3 linked regions of the Xenopus tropicalis genome follow. The protein of the gene in region 1 interacts with the protein of each later gene in a biochemical or structural test. Links are inferred from orthologs where the notes say so. Each region holds a gene or a part of one and is shown in the gene's direction. Other genes may lie near its edges.

What was found. The genes of interacting proteins can lie anywhere in the genome.
Region 2: the proteins of sumo2 (region 1) and numa1 form a complex in vitro, tested with the Homo sapiens proteins (2 studies listed by BioGRID). The link is inferred for Xenopus tropicalis from reciprocal best matches to the Homo sapiens genes SUMO2 and NUMA1.
Region 3: the proteins of sumo2 (region 1) and slx4 form a complex in vitro, tested with the Homo sapiens proteins (3 studies listed by BioGRID). The link is inferred for Xenopus tropicalis from reciprocal best matches to the Homo sapiens genes SUMO2 and SLX4.

What each region holds. Positions count from the first base shown.
Region 1 is NC_030686.2:44,411,019-44,415,200, forward strand, and holds the start of sumo2 (small ubiquitin-related modifier 2 precursor), read left to right. Parts: upstream 1-1,382; 5' UTR 1,383-1,392; coding exon 1,393-1,413; intron 1,414-2,123; exon of another isoform or gene 2,124-2,360; intron 2,361-2,707; exon of another isoform or gene 2,708-3,565; intron 3,566-4,167; coding exon 4,168-4,182. UniProt on the Homo sapiens protein: Ubiquitin-like protein that can be covalently attached to proteins as a monomer or as a lysine-linked polymer.
Region 2 is NC_030678.2:178,840,561-178,844,836, forward strand, and holds the start of numa1 (nuclear mitotic apparatus protein 1), read left to right. Parts: upstream 1-1,476; 5' UTR 1,477-1,568; intron 1,569-1,574; exon of another isoform or gene 1,575-1,660; intron 1,661-4,276. Other genes in the region: short transient receptor potential channel 2, read right to left, coding at 1,157-1,236. UniProt on the Homo sapiens protein: Microtubule (MT)-binding protein that plays a role in the formation and maintenance of the spindle poles and the alignement and the segregation of chromosomes during mitotic cell division.
Region 3 is NC_030685.2:20,676,116-20,680,179, forward strand, and holds the start of slx4 (structure-specific endonuclease subunit SLX4), read left to right. Parts: upstream 1-1,264; 5' UTR 1,265-1,371; intron 1,372-3,873; 5' UTR 3,874-4,000; coding exon 4,001-4,064. UniProt on the Homo sapiens protein: Regulatory subunit that interacts with and increases the activity of different structure-specific endonucleases.

The sequences.
Region 1 (4,182 bases):
GAAGAATGGCTGCTGATCTCATATAATACTTATGACTCATTTATTTTGATATGCAATTTACTCTCCCCTTTATTTAAAATATTTGCTGTGGTTTCTCCCTTTTGCTTGTGACATTTGTATTGTCATCCCTTTGTTGTTTACAGATCTCCACCTTACAAGCAAACTCCAAATGAAAGAAAATAAATGCCCTTATAACCATGTCCCAATATGCACTGCTTGTACCCTAGGCAATTTTGGGTGGGTTTTAGGCCTTTTCATTTTTGGGGGGGTAACTATGAGGAGCAGAAGGCTGTCAGTGTTATTAACAGTAAATAGGGAAGAAAGACAGTAAATCCCAGTGTTGGAATGAGGTGTGTGGGGTCCACCACCTCAACAGACGGTTTTTCTCCTATCGTTCCGCTCGTCCAGTCCCACCCTGGGAAATGGCTGTATTTTATGTCCCTAAAAGGGCAGCCACCTTCCATGATTTTTATGTTTTGTCTGGAAACTTTGGATATGGTTTGGATATGATTTTTATGTTTTGTCTGGTAACTTTGGATATGGTTTGGATATGATTTTTATGTTTTGTCTGGTAACTTTGGATATGGTTTGGATATGATTTTTATGTTTTGTCTGGTAACTTTGGATATGGTTTGGATATGATTTTTATGTTTTGTCTGGTAGCTTTGGATATGGTTAGCTTCTCTATGTTTTTGGTATGTATAACTTTATTTATAAAGCGCCACAAGGATACGCAGCACTGTACAATCTTACAATATACACAATTACCCACAGGTAGGGCAAGTGTTATAATAAATTTCAATAAATAAGTATAAATACACAGGGAGTAAGTGCCATGGGGTATGAGACACAGTAGGAAGGAGGTCCCTGCCCCGTAGAGCTTACAATCTAAGTGGTTGGGTAACATACAGGCACAAACTGGAAGGTAAGAGGCACCAGGTATGGGCATTTGCCCTTAAGTGCAGGACTGATCAAAATAAAGTTTTAGTGAAAAGGTAACTGGTATGGCAACTGGTATGGCTTCCTCCTTTGGCTTAATTATAGGGGGGGCTGTTTCTGGAAGCTTCTATCATGGCTCCTGCCCCCTCTATGAGACTAGGCCAATGAAGTCACTGGAAGGGATTTAGCCAATCCCGGGTACAATGCGGCCCAACCTCACCCTGACTCTCCTCAGAGTCAGACCCCTCCCCCCATGCGCGCCCCCGCCGCCACGTGCTCCCCAAGGCGGGCTTTTCCCTACAGTGGAAATAGCGGCGGGGGCGCGCACGCAGAGAGTGCGCCAAATCTTCCTTTCCGTACGTGCGCGCTCTCGTTCCACGTCCCGCGCCAGTTCAGGCTCTTTGTGAGGAGGAGGCAGCAGCGAGAGTACCGGGCACCGGGAGCGAACTGACAATGGCGGACGATAAGCCCAAGGTCCTGCTCCGGGCTGGGAGAGGGAAGGGTCGCATAGCGGGCTTGGGGCCGGGGGCAGTGGGTGCGGGGCAGGAGGAGGGAGAGGCCTAGGCGCTAAAGGGAGGGGGCAGCGGCCTGCGGGCTGTGCGGGGGCTCTGTGGGTACGGGAGGGGCCCGTAGGGAGACAGCCGGGAGAGGGACGCCCATACTAGCGGGGCTTGGTTATGGGAGGCTGCACTGCATTGGCCCACTAGGTTTATGGGGAAGGGAGCACAGGAACCAGGGAGCACTGGGGAAGGGAGCACTGGGGAAGGGAGCACTGGGGAAGGGAGCACTGGGGAAGGGAGCACAGGGGAAGGGAGCACTGGGGAAGGGAGCACAGGGGAAGGGAGCACTGGGGAAGGGAGCACAGGAACCAGGGAGCACTGGGGAAGGGAGCACTGGGGAAGGGAGCACAGGGGAAGGGAGCACAGGGGAAGGGAGCACAGGGGAAGGGAGCACAGGGGAAGGGAGCACAGGGGAAGGGAGCACAGGGGAAGGGAGCACAGGGGAAGGGAGCACAGGGGAAGGGAGCACTGGGGAAGGGAGCACTGGGGAAGGGAGCACTGGGGAAGGGAGCACTGGGGAAGGGAGCACTGGGGAAGGGAGCACTGGGGAAGGGAGCACTGGGGAAGGGAGCACTGGGGAAGGGAGCACTGGGGAAGGGAGCACTGGGGAAGGGAGCACAGGAACCAGGGAGCACAGGAACCAGGGAGCACTGGGGAAGGGAGCACAGGAGCCAGGGAGCACTGGGGAAGGGAGGACAGGAACCAGGGAGCACTGGGGAAGGGTATGTTGGGCACTGCCAGTATTGGGAGATGGGAAGTAAATGGGAATGGGCGACCTTGGCTATACTGGGAATAGGGATATTAGGGGGGCCTGAGCCCAGGTATGTTGTGGGGGAATATACTGGGGCTGGGAATTGGGAGGTTAGGGGGCCCTGAGCCCAGGTATGTTGGGGGGGGAATATACTGGGCCTGGGAATTGGCAGTTTAGGGGGCTCTGAGCCTAGGTATGTTGGGGACATATACTGGGGCTGGGAATAGGGAGGTTAGGGGGCCCTGAGCCCAGGTATGTTGGGGGGGAATATACTGGGGCTGGGAATTGGCAGCTTAGAGGGCCCTGAGCCCAGGTATGTTGGGGGCATATACTGGGAATTGGGAGCTTAGGGGGCCCTGAGCCCAGGTATGTTGGGGGCATATACTGGGGCTGTGAATTGGGAGCTTAGGGGGCCCTGAGCCCAGGTATGTTGGGGGCATATACTGGGAATTGGGAGCTTAGGGGGCCCTGAGCCCAGGTATGTTGGGGGCATATACTGGGAATTGGGAGCTTAGGGGGCCCTGAGCCCAGGTATGTTGGGGGCATATACTGGGAATTGGGAGCTTAGGGGGCCCTGAGCCCAGGTATGTTGGGGGCATATACTGGGGCTGTGAATTGGGAGCTTAGGGGGCCCTGAGCCCAGGTATGTTGGGGGCATATACTGGGGCTGTGAATTGGGAGCTTAGGGGGCCCTGAGCCCAGGTATGTTGGGGGCATATACTGGGGCTGGGAATTGGGAGCTTAGGGGGCCCTGAGCCCAGGTATGTTGGGGGCATATACTGGGGCTGGGAATTGGGAGCTTAGGGGGCCCTGAGCCCAGGTATGTTGGGGGCATTGACTTTAGGGAATGAGGTAACTTGGGGAGAGAGGAATTCAAGAATGTTGAGTGGGAAAAGATGTAGCCTCTGGCCAGTGAGAAGGGCAAGTATTATGGGAGAGCTTAATGGTGGGAAAATGGGTATGCAGGGCTCAGTGCCATTAAATAGAGTTAATACTGGCCAGAAGCCTAGGTTATGTTGGGGGCATTCCATGCAGAGTAAGGGGCATAAGGGTGAAGACACACTGAGCTACTAGCAGCAACTAATTTTTTACAGCTACAAAACACCAGAAAATCCCCTGCCTTAGACAGTATGGAGCGTTGCGAAAACAGAGAATTATCAGTAACTGATTGGCATTGAATATTTTAGTAGCTGTGACAAGTAGCTGCTACTACTGTGTGTCTTCGACCTAAGGAAGGAGAATTCTTAGTATGGAAGGAATTTTAGAATTGAGGAAGTAGTGTAGGTAATGGAGGAACACGTGTTAGAAGCAGGAAGGGTAAGGTGCATTAGGCACAGTGGAAAGAAAGTTCTGAGAACTTTTAAACTTGTATTAAGTCTTTAGATTCAGGGTCTGTGACACTGTGAAGCAGTACCATGTTATTCTGCATACTGGCCCTCAATGTGATATTGCTCTCTTAATCACTGGGACCTGTTAATTGGGGACCTAGAGACACAGGCAAGCGTACTGTAAGGCTAATATATACGATGAGGTTAGGGGCTAGACCAGCTTTTGTGAGTGTAGTTGTAAGTTAAATGCCTGTGCAGTCAGTAAACATTCCAGAACTGTAGCTCCCAGCAGTGACTGTTGTTCTAAAGGGAACATTTGGTGTATTTTGTGTAATGACATGCAGCCTTATAACTTCTGTGCTCCCCATCTTTCTTCTTGTGCGTTGTGAACACATTACCAAATGTAGCATGGTCCCCGGCCAGATCTAATATAACTAGAGTTCTTTTGTCATTTGGTGCCAAAGTATTCTCTAGAATGGGGTGCAAAGAGCTCATTTCTCACAACGGGATGAATAACCACAAGCGTTACCAGTGTTTCTGTGCCATGATGCCCCTTCCCAGCACTCATTCCACTTTTTACTTCTTTTAGGAAGGTGTTAAGACC
Region 2 (4,276 bases), on another chromosome or scaffold:
AGTTCCGCTGATCCCCAGTAGGTGTCACTGTAACACAAAATCATTCCATAATGTGCCAGTCAGTTCCCCTGATCCCCAGTAGGTGTCACTGTAACACAAAATCACTCCATAATGTGCCAGTCAGTTCCCCTGATCCCCAGTAGGTGTCACTGTAACACAAAATCACTCCATAATGAGCCAGTCAGTTCCCCTGATCCCCAGTAGGTGTCACTGTAACACAAAATCACTCCATAATGAGCCAGTCAGTTCCCCTGATCCCCAGTAGGTGTCACTGTAACACAAAATCACTCCATAATGAGCCAGTCAGTTCCCCTGATCCCCAGTAGGTGTCACTGTAACACAAAATCACTCCATAATGTGCCAGTCAGTTCCCCTGATCCCCAGTAGGTGTCACTGTAACACAAAATCCCTCCATAATGTGCCAGTCAGTTCCCCTGATCCCCAGTAGGTGTCACTGTAACACAAAATCCCTCCATAATGTGCCAGTCAGTTCCCCTGATCCCCAGTAGGTGTCACTGTAACACAAAATCCCTCCATAATGTGCCAGTCAGTTCCCCTGATCCCCAGTAGGTGTCACTGTAACACAAAATCCCTCCATAATGTGCCAGTCAGTTCCCCTGATCCCCAGTAGGTGTCACTGTAACACAAAATCACTCCATGATGTGCCAGTCAGTTCCCCTGATCCCCAGTAGGTGTCACTGTAACACAAAATCACTCCATAATGAGCCAGTCAGTTCCCCTGATCCCCAGTAGGTGTCACTGTAACACAAAATCACTCCATAATGTGCCAGTCAGTTCCCCTGATCCCCAGTAGGTGTCACTGTAACACAAAATCACTCCATAATGTGCCAGTCAGTTCCCCTGATCCCCAGTAGGTGTCACTGTAACACAAAATCACTCCATAATGTGCCAGTCAGTTCCCCTGATCCCCAGTAGGTGTCACTGTAACACAAAATCACTCCATAATGTGCCAGTCAGTTCCGCTGATCCCCAGTAGGTGTCACTAACACAATCATTGCACCATTTCCCATGTTACCCTACAGGCGCAGAACCCCCTGCTCGCCCGCTAGTTGCCACCATCACCCCATTTCCTAAGCCCCACCCTATTCACCCTGCGCAAAGGCAAAACAAACCCCGTTACCATAGAAACACTCACAGACCCCGGACTCCAACCTCCTGAATCCCCGAATTTCCCGCGTTTTTGGCCCGCACCGCTCCGCCCTGCAATGACGTCATGTAAGGAAGCCGCCCCAGTCAGTGGGAGGGGCCAGTCAGGTAATAGCGCTCGGAACTACAATTCCCAGAATCAGCTACCAATTGGAAAGCTCTAGTAAAGTGCTGAGAGTTGTAGTTCCCTTAGAACAGACTTAGCTTTCTCGCTCAAATTGTACATTTCTGGTTTTAGCCCCTCCCAGCCTCCGGTCACTATGCCCCGCCCACACCCTATCGGGCCGCTAAACTTTTATTATGGGTTCTGTAAATAGAGGCGTGGCACGCAAATGCGTGTCAGTGACATCACGCGTGTTCGGACGCGGCCGCGCAGTGATACGGCAGCCAATGGCGGACAGGTCAGTGGGCGGCGCTTGGGTTTGAATCCTTCGTAGGTAGAAATTCTATTTTGATATCTCGGCGGGGAGGGAACCTGTGGCACCGGGAGCGGGTGAGTCACCGGGGGGGCTGAGTGTTAGTACCGGGGGGGGGGCTGAGTGTTAGTACCGGGGGGGCTGAGTGTTAGTACCGGGGGGGCTGAGTGTTAGTACCGGGGGGGCTGAGTGTTAGTACCGGGGGGGCTGTGTGTTAGTACCGGGGGGGCTGTGTGTTAGTACCGGGGGGGCTGAGTGTTAGTACCGGGGGGGGCTGAGTGTTAGTACCGGGGGGGCTGAGTGTTAGTACCGGGGGGGGGGGCTGAGTGTTAGTACCGGGGGGGGGGGGCTGAGTGTTAGTACCGGGGGGGGGGGGCTGTGTGTTAGTACCGGGGGCTGAGTGTTAGTACCGGGGGGCTGAGTGTTAGTAACCGGGGGGGGGGGCTGAGTGTTAGTACCGGGGGGGGGGGCTGAGTGTTAGTACCGGGGGGGGGGGCTGAGTGTTAGTACCGGGGGGGGGGGGGGCTGAGTGTTAGTACCGGCGGGGGGGGGGGGCTGAGTGTTAGTACCGGGGGGCTGTGTGTTAGTTACCGGGGGGGGCTGTGTGTTAGTACCGGGGGGGCTGTGTGTTAGTACCGGGGGGGCTGTGTGTTAGTACCCGGGGGCTGTGTGTTAGTACGCAGGGGGGCTGTGTGTTAGTACCTCGGGGGGGCTGTGTGTTAGTACCGGGGGGGCTGAGTGTTAGTACCGGGGGGGCTGTTGTGTTAGTACCGGGGGGGGCTGTGTGTTAGTACCGGGGGGGGCTGTGTGTTAGTACCGGGGGGGCTGTGTGTTAGTACCGGGGGGCTGTGTGTTAGTACCGGGGGGGCTGTGTGTTAGTACCGGGGGGGGCTGAGGGTGTGCCGGGGGGGGGGGCTGAGTGTAGTACCGGGGGGGGGGCTGACCGGGGGGGGGGCTGAGTGTTAGTACCGGGGGGGGGGGGCTGAGTGTTAGGGGGCTGAGTGTTAGTACCGGGGGTGGGGGGGCTGAGTGTTAGTACCGGCCGGCTGAGTGGGGGGGGGGGGGCTGAGTGTTAGTACCGGGGAGGGCTGAGGTTAGTACCGGGGTGAGTGTTAGTACCGGGGGGGGCTGATGTTTAGTACCGGGGGGCTGAGTGTTAGTACCGGGGGGGGAGGTGGTTTCCGGGTTGGGAGGATGGAGTGGGGGGCCGGGGGGGGGGGGGCTGAGTGTTATACCGTAGTACCGGGGGGGGGGCTGAGTGTTAGTACCGGGGGGGGCTGAGTGTTAGTACCGGGGGGCGGGCTGAGTGTTAAAGTACCGGGGGGGGGCTGAGTGTTAGTACCGGGGGGGGGGCTGAGTGTAGTACCGGGGGGCTGAGTGTTAGCTGAGTGTTAGTACCCGGGGGGGGGGGGCTGAGTGTTAGTACCGGGGGGGGGGGCTGAAGTGTTAGTACCGGGGCTTGAGTCGTTAGTACCGGGGGGGGGGGGCTGATGTTAGTTAGTACCGGGGGGGGCTGAGTGTTAGTACCGGGGGCTGAGTTAGTACCGGGGAGGGCTGAGTGTTAGTACCGGGGGGGCTGAGTGTTAGTACGGGTGGGGGGGGCTGAGTGTTAGTACCGGGGGGGCGGCTGAAGTGTTAGTACCGGGGGGCGAGGTTTACCGGGGGGGCGAGTGTTAGTACCGGGGGGGGGGGGGGCTGAGTGTTAAGTACCGGGGGGGCTGAGTGTTAGTACCGGGGGGGGGGGCTGAGTGTTAGTACCGGGGGGGGGCTGTGTTTAGTACCGGGGGGGAGGCTGAGTGTTAGTACCGGGGGGGGGGGGCTGAGTGTTTATACCGGGGGGGGGTGGAGTGTTAGTACCGGGGGGGGCCTGAGTGTTGAGTACGGGGGGGGCTGAGTGTATAGTACCGGGGGGGGCTGTGTGTTATACCGGGGGCTGAGTGTTAAGTACCGGGGGGGCTGAGTGTTTAGACCCGGGGGGGGGGGGGCTGAGTGTTAGTACGGGGGCGGCTGAGTGTTAGTACCGGGGGGGGCTGAGTGTTAGTACCGGGGGGGGGCTGAGTGGTTATACCGGGGGGGGGGGGCGAGTGTTATAGTTTTACCGGGGGGGGGCTGAGTTTAGTACCGGGGGGGGAGGGGCCTGAGTGTTAGTACCGGGGGGGGGCTGATTTGTTAGTACCGGGGGGGGGCTGTGTGTTAGTACCGGGGGGGGCTGTGTGTTAGTACCGGGGGGGCTTGTGTGTTAGTACGCGGGGGTGTGTGTTAGTACCGGGGGGGGGGGCTGAGTGTTATACGGGGGGGGGGGCTGAGTGTAGCTACGGGGGGGCTGTGTGTTAGTACCGGGGGCTGAGTGTTTAGTACCGGGGGGGGCTGTGTGTTAGTACCGGGGGCTGTGTGTTAGTACCGGGGGGCTGTGTGTTAAGTACCGGGGGGGCCTGAGTGTTAGTACGGGGGGGCTGAGTGTTAGTACCGGGGGCTGATGTGTAGTACCGGGGGGGGGGCCGAGTTTAGACCGGGGGGGGGTGAGTTAGAGTACCGGGGGGGGCTGAGTGTTAGTACCGGGGGGCTGAGTGTCAGTACCGCTGTGGGGGGGGCTGAAGTGTAGTACCGGGGGGGGGGGCTGTGTGTTAGTACCGGGGGCTGAGTGGTTAGTACCGGGCTATGGCTGGAGTGGTTAGTACCGGGGGGGCTGAGTG
Region 3 (4,064 bases), on another chromosome or scaffold:
TACCAGTGCAGGAATGGCTGCCCCCGGGGCTACACAGCGGGGTATTTATACAAACTATAGTAGGGTTTCTGTAGCAAACACCCCAGCTGTACCAGTGCAGGAATGGCTGCCCTCAGGGCTACACAGCGGGGTATTTATATAAACTATAGTAGGGTTTCTGTAGCAAACACCCCAGCTGTACCAGTGCAGGAATGGCTGCCCCCGGGGCTACACAGCGGGGTATTTATACAAACTATAGTAGGGTTTCTGTAGCAAACACCCCAGCTGTACCAGTGCAGGAATGGCTGCCCCCGGGGCTACACAGCGGGGTATTTATATAAACTATAGTAGGGTTTCTGTAGCAAACACCCCAGCTGTACCAGTGCAGGAATGGCTGCCCCCGGGGCTACACAGCGGGGTATTTATACAAACTATAGTAGGGTTTCTGTAGCAAACACCCCAGCTGTACCAGTGCAGGAATGGCTGCCCCTGGGGCTACACAGCGGGATATTTATATAAACTATAGTAGGGTTTCTGTAGCAAACACCCCAGCTGTACCAGTGCAGGAATGGCTGCCCCTGGGGCTACACAGCGGGGTATTTATATAAACTATAGTAGGGTTTCTGTAGCAAACACCCCAGCTGTACCAGTGCAGGAATGGCTGCCCCCGGGGCTACACAGCGGGGTATTTATATAAACTATAGTAGGGTTTCTGTAGCAAACACCCCAGCTGTACCAGTGCAGGAATGGCTGCCCCCGGGGCTACACAGCGGGGTATTTATACAAACTATAGTAGGGTTTCTGTAGCAAACACCCCAGCTGTACCAGTGCAGGAATGGCTGCCCCTGGGGCTACACAGCGGGGTATTTATATAAACTATAGTAGGGTTTCTGTACCAAAAACACACCAGCTGTAGGAGTGTGTTGGAGTTAAGGGGGGGTTAGGCCGCCCTTAGGAATGAGTAGGGAGGGCGCAGGGACATTAACCTATTGGCACAGTGACAGCCCACACTGGTTGTAACAATAATGGTAACCCTGTGTATGTGCTAAAGGGGGGACTCCGCACAAAGTCTTTTGAGTTTTTTTTGCATATGAAAGGAAACGTGATTCTAGGCAACTTTTCAATAAACATTTATATTTATTTTTTATTTCATGCCACTGCTTCAGCTGAGCTACAAACAGCTGCCTAAAACCTAAACTTTACACATTACTATAGACGCGCTTTATTTACAATCCCCAACACTTCCGGCGTGGCGCCTCATGCGTCAGCCGAGTTCCGGTAGTTCCTTCTGTTACTGTGGAGACGTCGTGCCACGGTCACAGCTGGGCGGAAGCGTGTTGACGTCATGACGCGCCAATTCCGGGGCGGCTTGTGTGAAGCTGTGTTACTGAGGTGAGTGAGCCCTATGGCTGCAGTGAATGAATGATGGAATCCTGCTTAGGGTGCGGGCTGGCAGCTCCGCTGTAGGAATGGGGCCCAGTAACCTGCAGCGGCACATTCAGTAGCCAGCTAGGTGGCCCTGTAGGGCTTTTGACATGAGAATGATTGACATGTGTTATATGGTTGGGTAATCACGTTAGTTCGTACACAAGGATTATTTTCACTGTAACTAGACAGAGAGACTGGGGCTCATTCACTATGTACGGTCAGCATTGCCTCAGTGCAGTAACTAAGCAACAGCTGATCAATATGGTACAGGTAGCATGGGGGTTACTTTACTGCACTGCTGGGAATTCTGCTCAGAGTTAGTGACTGAACAGAAATGCTGATAAGTGTTATATATTATGTTAGAATATGTGTAGTTAGGAGCTAAAGGGCAAGGGCCCTCTGTGTTATGACCCCTATCCCTTATTTTTCTGAATCCCTTCATTCCATTTGTCACCGTGCCATCTTTATGGGATAGTGAATTGGCCCCTTCTAGTCATTAAAGGGGAACTCCACCCAAACACAACTTTGCGAATAGTAAACATCATTTTAGGCAACTTTGCAATATACATCAATTAGAAAATATGGTTTTAAACAGTTACCTAAGCCGGGCCCCTTGTTCTGCTCAGCTGGCTGATTACATTGAGACTGTCCTGAGCCTGCATCCTCCAAATTGCACACATTATATTAAAGGAGACATATCCTATAAACATTAAGAATGTACCAGTGAATTATACTCCTCTAGATATAGAAGGATTGTGCTTAAAAATGTTGTGTTTCAGACTGATTTATTGAGAAATTCCACAAAAACCCCACTAGCCCCGCCCATCTGTTCCACTTCCTGCTGGCTGAATTCTCTGGATGAGCTGGGGAACCGGCGGCCCTCCGTACACTGCACTGCAGGATAGGAACCAATCAGCAGCTAGGCTGACCTGATAGGGAACTGAAGTCTGTCTGTGCTTGTGGGAGTGCAGGGCTGTGATTGGCTCTCCCCCTCCTACTGTGCTTCTGGCAGGGACCGTTAGGACATGCCCACTCTTCATTTCACACTGGACAGAGAAGCCAGAGGATCTATAGGGAGCTCCAATAAAGGGGCCATTGTTACAGAGAGGATTAATGTTTAGCCCAAAGGGAAACCAGCACCGTATATTATTCATAATTGCCTACAAAATTAGGGTTTTTCTCATTTATCCTATATGTCTCCTTTAATAAGGGAAGAAACATCAGAGTGCAATGCATTGTGGGTTATGTAGTTCCTGCTTGCTGTCTGTAAACTGTAGGGATGCTGTTCCAATTTGTAACGTTGATGTTTTAGTCCCTCCTCCCCTGCCAGGATTTCAGTCATGCAGAAAGAAAATAAACTGTTGTGCATCTGGATTTCAGCATATAAAATGGTATTTATTCATACCTTTTAAAGGAACAGATTACAATGATAGGTATATTAGGTGTGTTGTGTGGGGCTCTTCAAAAAAATGTTGGTTCAGAAGCCGCAGTTCCCCTTTAAAGGTTACAGTTATTTGTGCCAGTGGAGCCCTTTTAGGACCCAGGCCATTCTTCAAACATTTTCCATATAATGGGCCAAATATCTCTTATATCTATCTAATATAGCCTTATTATACTAAAAGATTTTTGTTGTTATTGGACAGTGTTGGAGGGCCACAGCGGGCCTGCTTTCCCATCTAACAATGCTGCCCGGGGTCTTGTGGGTTGGCTCCCAGCCTCCTCCAGGGCCCAACGGAACGTTAAACATACGATCCCCATGCTTTAGCCCTAATGAGTAGAAGTATTGCAGCCTCAACTGACCTCAGCATTTTATAGGCCTGTATGGTATATGGTAAACCATAATTGTTTATACTAAAATAGCACCAATACAACTGTGCATGTTGGAGCAGTCGCTTCTAAATTATTGGCTAGTGTTGGTGTGGGTTTTGTCAGCTACATATACTGATTGGAATGACCTATATGTCTGTAAAGCGCTGTGGAACTGTGTTGGCACTATATATAAATATAGGGAATGAATAAATATAACTGAATGCTGCTCTTATTTGTAGAATTTGTAATTCTCCTAATGCTGCCATCTAGTGCCAGAACTTTGCAAATAGTTGTTTAATTGTGACATTATTCCTATTGTGTACCATACTGTACAACTGACCTTCCAATGATGGCTCAGCCTGCAGGCCTTATACAACATTCTTACACCTATTTATGGTTGTTCTGAAAGTTAGAAGCCTTCAAGTTTATATGCAGTGTTAAATATATTAATTCAGTAAACAGTGGATCAGCCAAGAAACATGCAGCTATAATCTAGATTTCTGGGATGCTTTAAACCAGGGATACTATACTTTGTTTCCCTGAAATTAAAGGGGATCATGATGTATTGGTGTTACTCCCACTATAAAAAGTCTTGCCTTGATCCGTATTGAGGTTGATAAATCTAAAATAATTTTATTGTCTTATCTATCTTTTTAGCACTCACTGGATACCCGGGAAATACTATGAAGAGGTGAAATGAGTATGAAGACCACAGGCACCCAATTTGGTACCCTGGATGCCCTGACAGTCTTGCCTGTCACCTTGTTCTTTTAACGGCGCACTAATGGTTGAGTCTGATGATGAATTCACTGAACTCTGCTCCAAACTCCTTAAAAGAGTGAAAAAGA